2 linked regions of the Drosophila melanogaster genome follow. The protein of the gene in region 2 interacts with the protein of the main gene of each other region in a pairwise test. Each region holds a gene or a part of one and is shown on either strand. Other genes may lie near its edges.

Region 1 (3,413 bases), 9.5 Mb from region 2:
GTTATTTGCTTGATTTTTACATTGTTGCGATCTATCAGCTACTTTACTTTAAGTTAGCTACCTTCTGACCTTTGATCAGAAAGTTGTGACGAGATATTTATCTAGATTTCTATTAAGCTCGGGTGTTAAATGTTTGAAATATTTTAACCTGGTCTGCAAGCACGTAGTTGAGTACATACTATTCGGATCCAATTTATTAAGACAAAGATATCCTCTATATATTTGGATCTTTTTAGTGTGCTTTTGTTAGTGGCCCCACCTTTAACAACTGGTTCGGCGGCTCGGGAATAACGTCGGGTACCACCTGGTGGGATCTGAAAACCTCCTCCACGGAGCCAGCTTGAACGGCCAGTAGGCAGCCCACCAATGGCAGTAGCACTCGCAGCATCTTTGTGGAGAGATTATTCGGTAGACGATAAGATCTTGAGAAAACCAATATATAGGAGCTCCGCTTTCGAATAAGGTTGGTCTGCAACTGAAACCAGTTTGCCATGATGCCATACTTTTAAAGCGAAGCTCGAAGCTTTTTGTTTAGTAAACAGCTGGGAAAAAATATACTCAATAATTAAAGTTATCTTTGTTTAAAGTTTCGCTTCGGAGATTATAGATTATTATTATACATTATATTTATTATACATTTATTCATATTATTTGCAAATTATACCAGTTGGTAATAGAGTAATTAAAGGGACTGGATTTGAAAAAAAATATTTTTTAAATATATATTATAGATATTTAGAAATTTATCTGTTTTTACATGATTCTTTTTCTTTACAGCATGCTTTGTAGGGATTTGGGAGCCTAATTATGAGGAGAAAGATACTACTTCTTGCCAGATAGTTGCTTGTATAACTTGGGCACATAGTCGTCCCACTGTGCCTGAAAAAAGTTTCCGGCAATGGGATCTCCCAGCTTGTACTTGCTCATGAACTTGGAGGTGCTGAAATTGGCTCGCTTGTCGCCGCTCGTTTTTGGGATTTTGGGCTCGTTGCAAGTGAGCTTTTGGGGCTGTTTGAAGACCAGGAAGACGTAACGATGAAGCCCCGTGCCTTGCGGCGGACCTGCACCCACATATTCGGTCAAAACTACGCCGTTCTCGACTTGGTTCCCTGGAATATTGACCACCAGCCAGTGGTGCCACTCGCGGAACTTGGGCTCCTTGCGACTGGGCGCATCCGGATCGGTCAGGAGGAGCGTGTAAAAGGCATTCGGATCTGCATCCCATTTCACCTTTGGCTGGCTCTGCACTTGCGTGGGTGTCAATTCACCGCCTACATCCACCACCTGTCCACCACCATAAGTCACCTGGAACAACAAAATGACATGGACGATTGTAGGCGCTATTTGTATTAGCTTACCGTAAGCAAAGTGGCAGGACACGTCTTCAGGATATCCGGCACGATCTTGTGCTTAGAGAAGCACACGGTGGAATCGGACATTTTTAGCTGAGTGGGCAACAACTAAAATGAAATTTGAGGTGCCAGAAAATTTCGTATTTTAAGGCTACGCCGACTTTAATTCTAACATTTCTGGCTGATAGTCAATAGATAGCCAATATTTCCAAAAATGGTGTCCTTGTAATCTGACCTAAATATCCTTATAAGGACATACTTTCAATAGCTTCTTCTGAGATATATTTGGAATTATTTTTATTGGAAGCTGGACTCTAAATTCAAAAGTGTGCTACTTGACGGGCATTGTGCGAGATGGCTTTGATAAGGGATGGGACATCGGGGCTCCATTGGGATGTGAAGAAGTTCCCAGCTACCGGATGGCCAAATCTGTATTTCTTTGCGAACCGCTTGGTTTCAAAGCCACTGCGACCCTTAACCGAGTGCTTCGGCAGTTTCGGGAAGTCAAACTTGGTGTAGTCCCTCTGTTTGTAGAGCAGGAAGACGAACCGATGGGTTCCGGTCCCCTTCAGCGGAGTGGCACCCATGTATCCCACGCGCACGTCCCCAAGGGCCAACAGATTGCCGGGTATGTTGAGGACCATCCAGTGTAGGAACTCCCGGTGCGTGGGTGTTATAGCATTGGGTACGTCCGGATCCACCATCAGCAGGGCGTAGTAGTTTTCCGGTGCCGAGGGCCACTTTACGGAGGGTTCATCACGCACTTGCATGGGTTCCAGTACCTTTCCACAATGTGCTGCTAAATGCCCGTGGTAAGTAACCTTTTGTGGGAGCAATTCAATTTCATAATATGATTAAAAGTATATTATTTAATTTTGAACAGTTGCCTAGAAATACAATTGTTGAATTGGGCATAGCATACATTTTTTTGGTTAAACTAAATTGGAATTCAAATTCTTAGATATCCGAATATTATCTCTTAAATAATTCTTTATGAGATCATTATTTGTGTTTTACTCACATTAAGAAACTCCTGCGGTCCGATGTGTATTACATCTGGTATCACATCCAAGGACCTCATGATCTTGCTCACTTCCGTATCCGACTGATGAACTCCTCTAGTTGATTTGAGGCTCAAGCTTGGCGCGAATCGCATGAAAAGTAGGATACATATGCTAGCCAACATTGTGAACCAAGTCTTTCACTGACTTCAAATTGGCTGATTGCTGGCTTTAAATACCCATTGCATCTAACATATGTTTTCTGCCTGGCCAATTAAGCAGCAAACACAGATGTCAGTTCCATTAAGTTAAGGTACTTTGCAACTTCCTTACAACTTCATAAAACAAATTGTCGTGTCTCAGGCCAATTAATGGTTCACTACCACCACCCACAGCAGTTGCGTGCTGGCGAGTTCTGTAAACATACACTATAAAATCAGTTAGTACCTCGTTTAGTTGACTATTATGCTACGTGACCCCTCATTTACTTGCCATTGCCCAGAGCACTTCATAAGTAAGGCACATCAATGAATTTACTTAAAATTCTATTATATTATATACACCCAGAGAAAAGCCCGCTGTCAACGATCGCGATCTATCCAAGATCGAATCATAATTAGATCGAGATCGAATCATTCTCAGATTGCAAATGACCTTGCACAAAATATAATAAATATTAAGTTATTATATCTTATTTAATTTACCAATTTCCGTACCAAAAAACGTTGATGAATGTTTTAAATTTTTGCATTTTTAATAAATTAAATAAATATTAATTAAATTCAGTTTTTGGTCGTTTTGTGACAAAGAAACGAAGGCAAAAGGACGAAGAGTCAATGAGAAAGAAGATGGTATGAAGAAGATGGTAAAATCAGGCTAAGTGGGGATGTGGTTAGAGCTGAAGAATGGCTAAAACTCTCGCGTTCCTAACCCTAACAACTACAATTATGGCCTGGGGCAGGTTCCGGTTCCATTTGGTCTGTGTGACTCGCAGCCATCCTTCCTGGGAAGGATCGCAAATTCCTTGGTATGTACAATTGGGCGAATGACTTTCCCCGTT
Region 2 (5,198 bases):
ATCGGACTTAAAAACTTTACTACTTGATTACAATCATTCTACCCATCTACCAAACAGAACCCAGAAGGATTCCTTTATCGGAGATCGTCAATTCACCGAATTCTACACGTCGTCCTTTATGAACTTCGGTAGCTATTTCTGTGGAGTCCTGGCCGCTTTGGTTTACGATCAGTTGGCATTGAAGCAATACAAACTACGGGAGTTAAAGAGCTTCCAGCTTCTTTGGTTTACACTTATTCCAGTGGGGATTCTATGGCTGTTTAGTGCTCATCCCATCTTCCAGCACTACTACGTGACGCCGTCGGCCATTTGGGGAGCATTATATGCCGGCCTGCAGCGAAACATCTGGGGCTTCGGGCTGGGAATCTTCATCGTGGGCATGGCCAGCAAAGTGGGATGTAAGTATCAACTGCGAGATATGCTTGGTATATCCTTGGCAAATCTTACTGTTCTTTCACAGGGATTTTCCGTAAGTTCTGCTGCTTGCCCATTTTCCGCATTTTGGGACGCCTCACTTATGGAGCCTTTATCGTCCACCTTCTTGTGGCGAGAATCGTCTTGGCCACAGTGCGGGAGCCCATTTATTTTGGCACGGGCATGATGGTGAGCTCACTTCTGGCATTCAATAGGAATTGGATTTTATGTAACTCAAATTGTTCTCATCTTATCTACAGTTTGCTTTCATCTTTTTTACGGTGACCGTGTCCTATCTCTGCTCCTTCTTGCTGGCCATCTTTCTGGAGCTTCCCGTCTCCTCCTTCCTCAAGCTTATGAGGTAGCCCAATGTCCTAACTTAAAGATTACTTATAACTAGAATAAAAGACATAACTTAATTAAATCCGTCACCAAAAAATTTCACTTACCCTGCGCCAATCTGGCTGGAAACGTCTTCATCGAGATTGCAGCTTCCTTTGAGCTCAAGGAAGTAACGCAGAACAGCATTGCTGGCGTCCTCGTTTAGGACCGGATTTAATTCCTGGCGAGCATAGGACAAGAACTTCTTAATCAGTATGGGTGGGAGCAGGTCCAAGTCCCCCTCCTCCGGAAGTACCTCCAGACGTTTGTCAAGATCATAATCCTGCTGCATAATGCTGTCATTATCGTCCTCCGTTTTGATTGTGTCATCATCTTTTCCCGCTGCCGGCACATTAAGGCTGACCTCGCACATGGAGTCGCTCATTTTGGGCTTAAGAGCATAGCGGGCTGCAATTCTCGCTCGTTTCCTAGCGCCCGCATGGAGAGCCCTTACGTGGGCAGTCAGCGACATATCTCTCTCCGAGGGCTTGTCCAATAATATGTAAACCAAATGGAACTCCCGCAGCAAAGAGGGTGAAATATTAATATTCTGTAGAAGGTAGCGCCCCTCATCGTATTGTCCTCTTTGTGGATTTGCGCACGCTATCACCGAAGGTTGCGCCGGGAATGAGGCAAATGCTCCTGCAAGTGGAAGATTTACTTCCTCTGATTGTAGGCACTGCAACAGTACGGCCTGCTTGGAGGCAAGTTTATCCACATCATCGAGGGTGCAGTGACCGCCTCCACTGGCCATCATCAAGGAACCCGCTTGTAGCACACGCTTGTTACGCCCAGCAAACGTAACACCCAGTTGCTGTGCGGATTGAGCCCCACGTTTTCCACTCACGTGGGCACCACGTTCAGCGATCTGAGCACAACTTTGCAGAATCTTGGTCTTTCCAATTCCGGGATCACCCACCAGGAGCACGTTGATGGCTTCAGTCTCCGCACCTTTCCCGCCGAGAAGGGATAGTAAACAGGCGGCTTTGGGTAGCTCATGTCCGTATACCTCCGGGGCAATGGATTGCACCAGTAGCTTAAAGCTGTTGGGTTCCGCATTGATCATGACAATCGCTTCCAAGTCACGTTCGCTGAACTCCCGCTTGATGCTGCTCGCATCGCGAATGCTGACTGCCTTGAGATAGGGCTGCATCTGGTTGGAGGTGTCTCCAGTGGTGGTATCGTCGCCCAATTCCTGCAGCTTAAGGATGCCAGTTACCACGACCTCCTGTCCGACACGCACAGCATCAACTAGATCATGTCGCAGCTCCACGTCCATTTCAGCAGGCATGCTGGTCTCAAAGTCGTGGACCAAGTTCAAACTGGACTCCTCCACGCGGATAATCTGTCGGATTGAAAGCCTGGTGTATGGGGAACTGCGAAGAGGCACGAATTCGTCACGAGCCACACACTCCGACCGCTTGCATTGATAAGGACGTGGCTGGAAGGTTCCCCGTTGGCGCATGGCAATCTCCATCTGGCAGCGACTGCAGCGAAAGGCTTGCCACGTGAGGCTGTAGCTAGGCTCGCCCACATTGCTCACAAAACCCCGGATGGAAAACAAAGTGTCCACTCGGGAATGGCTTATTCCTTCTATTGATTCCACAGGCACAAAATCATCCGGTCGTGCGTAGATCTTGCGTACCCGTGGGGTTGGAAGGACGTACTGTTCCGGAGTGGACACCATAGCTGTGGTGGAATCATTACAGTCCAGCTGGTGATTGACGACCACAGTGTGCATAGCCAACGACAGGGTTCCTAGCGTGCGAAGCGGGTGCTCACGGATGTCTTCGGACAAACTAGGCCAAACCTCCTTTAGCTGGGCATCTGATTTGATGCCTGCTGCGCAGAGGGGGAAGAATCCCCGATCCCGTATCATCACAAAATCGAAGGTGTGAGGATTACGTTGGTAGTATGCCTCCACGGCCATTATCCTTGTGGCCAGTTCGTTGCCCTCCTCGTATTTCTCGCGCAAGAAGTACAGTCGCCAGCCGGAATAAGCCCGTGGATTATCCACCGCAATGCTCTGCACCTGGAGCCCGTCTTCTGGTGCGGCATAGTTTTCCGGCCGCAGAAAGCTGCAGTCCAAGTGAGCATTGCGTCCTCGCTTGCCGGCTGTGCGGCTCCAGCCCCTGGGTTGCCGAGTTGCAGGCGGAACAGAAGGAGCGTCTGGTGCTCCAGGTTCCCCTTGGTTGGGTTGTCGATTGCCTCCGGCTGGGATCACACGTCCATTGCGCCGAAAGTAGAAGTACGGACGGTAGGCTCCGCCTCCGCGACCACGACCACGCACAAATCGCGATGGGGCGCCCCCCCGGGAAAGCGTTGGATTCATTTCAGCTGGGGAAAGTTTACAAATTTGCCCGCTTTTAAATAGAGATGATACCTATATTACAAATGACATGAAATATCGATAACGATCTTTGGCTAAGATATTGAACCCTTAACGATTTTATATTTAAACTTATAAATCGATGTAATAAAATTATTTTGGAATTATTTCGGCGGACACTTGTGATATCTTCGATTCTTGCTTCAGTATGCTCAGCTGGGCGGGAAGGTAGTGTTCAAATACACCCGATAGCTTCGACTTGACCTCACGAAATGTTTCCAACACTTTTATCTCCTCGTTCTCATCAGTGGGCTGCACGGCCTTTAGTTCATGTAGTAATTCGGTGCAGCCGTCGAGGAGCATCACCTGCTTCAGGTGAAGCTTAAGCAGCTCCTGCTGAATTGTCTTGATGCACTGGATTTGTTGGTCCATGCGCAGTGGAATCGTGGAAAGAGCCAACATTTGCTCCATATGCTTTTTATCCTTCACGAACATTTTAGCAGCACTTTCCATGGCTTCAGCAGGTTTTGCTTCAATCTCCTTGGGATCTTTGTGCTTTTTATCCTCCACGATCGTTTTATGAATAATTTCCATGTTTTCAGCAGGTTTTGCTTCAATCTCCTTGGGATCTTTAATGCACGGAGCTTCCGTCTCGGTTTTAGCTGGAATCTGTAAGGGAAATTAGGGCTTACTAACTAACTAGCCTTAGAAATTGACAGCTATCGCCTTTTTTTTTGGTTATCTACAGCTTTGTATTTATTTATTTTTTTTTTTACCATTTTGTTCTCTGCTGAAAAGTTTTAGAGACCGTATGCAACCAATGATAAAACTGAATAGCAGATCGAATACTAAGTCAAAGCCTCCTTTTAATAAGAAACTCATAGTTTTTTACAGAACATTCAGAGCGATCTAGGGTTCTGGTTTCTGGTCACCTTTTTTCGGGAAAAGTGAACTCAGATTGACGGGACAGTTGTCCAGGCGGGCCAGTTGCTTAACCATGTCATCCAGGAGCAGGCTGTTCCGCTCGTCGGAACCCTGGATGAGCCCGTAGGCCTCTGCGTTGGCGATTCGGTGCTGCAGAAGCGGCATGTAGGGTCCATTGAAATGCGGCTGTCCATTGGCCAATTCCGGCGGAGGCTTAGCAGTGGGAATAAAGTCCGTTTCCGACTTTGGGGACCGGCAAGTCGGCTGGTTTGGCCGAAACTTTGGAGTCCTATAGCCCAACTTTCGCTTCTTTTCCGCCTGCAAGTGATTTTCGCTCACGTCGTCGGACTCGTAATGATGGTTATAAAACCGGATGCCGTATATTGCGGGCTTTGGCTAAATTAGGTAGATTTATCTTTAGATAAATTAATATTTTGTGTTATAGATAGTGTTGATGGTTAGAAACTGAGACATATCTCCAAATCTCCAATACTCACAGCTCTCTTGCGCTCCTCATCGTAGCCATCGTCATCCGAATCATCATCCTGTTCATCATTGTCCATTTCAATGGGAATCCGGTCACTGGTCACCGGCACCTGGGGCACGAATTCTGAGGCACTTGCTCGGAGTCCATTAGGGGAGACCGCGGTCGGCGGAGAAGCAGAAGCCGAAGTCGGAGGAGTAACGGCTGGAGTCACCTCATTGCTCATGGACTCTAGTTCCAGACATAAACGTTTGTAGGCCATCGTGGTTCTTTCCAAGTGGTTGAGATCCAATTTGCCAGCGATATGGGCAACGTTCTGGAGGAATTTTTTACTTTCATCCATAAAGAGCGAAGTCACAATCAAATTCCTTTGTGGATGGCGCAAACATTAAAAATTTTAAACATTTAACACAAACTTGATTTGTTTAGCATTCGATGTTTCGATTCGATTTCTGACAGAAAATCTGGAACTGTCAAACATATTTAAATTGGTTGATGTACAACAATTTATAAAAAAATATTAATAACGAACTAAAAAACTTGTAGTATTTAATGGAATTGTCCACAATTTTAAAAATTTAGCTCAGTGTGACCATTTCGGTCGCGACTTATCGGTCTTGTCGATAAATTAGAGCTGCAAAATTTGTAAACAGTGGACGCCTATAA

The links.
Region 1: the proteins of rec (region 2) and CG10298 interact in a two-hybrid assay, tested with the Drosophila melanogaster proteins (one large-scale study listed by BioGRID).

What each region holds. Positions count from the first base shown.
Region 1 is NT_033777.3:6,341,096-6,344,508, reverse strand, and holds CG10298 (uncharacterized protein), read right to left. Parts: upstream 1,508-3,413; 5' UTR 1,440-1,507; coding exon 1,359-1,439; intron 1,306-1,358; coding exon 823-1,305; 3' UTR 710-822; downstream 1-709. Other genes in the region: CG17919 (uncharacterized protein), read right to left, coding at 260-388; CG17917 (uncharacterized protein), read right to left, coding at 1,673-2,173, 2,374-2,508; Osi20 (osiris 20), read right to left, coding at 3,413-3,413.
Region 2 is NT_033777.3:15,829,491-15,834,688, forward strand, and holds the start of rec (recombination-defective), read right to left. Parts: upstream 3,143-5,198; 5' UTR 3,128-3,142; coding exon 864-3,127; intron 832-863; exon of another isoform or gene 780-831; coding exon of another isoform or gene 675-779; intron 604-674; coding exon of another isoform or gene 461-603; intron 399-460; coding exon of another isoform or gene 58-398; intron 1-57. Other genes in the region: CG4576 (uncharacterized protein), read left to right, coding at 58-398, 461-603, 675-779; CG43318 (uncharacterized protein), read right to left, coding at 3,278-3,793, 3,901-3,903; CG43317 (uncharacterized protein), read right to left, coding at 4,034-4,444, 4,546-4,875. UniProt on the Drosophila melanogaster protein: Required for meiotic DNA recombination in females. Probably not involved in DNA repair and recombination in somatic cells.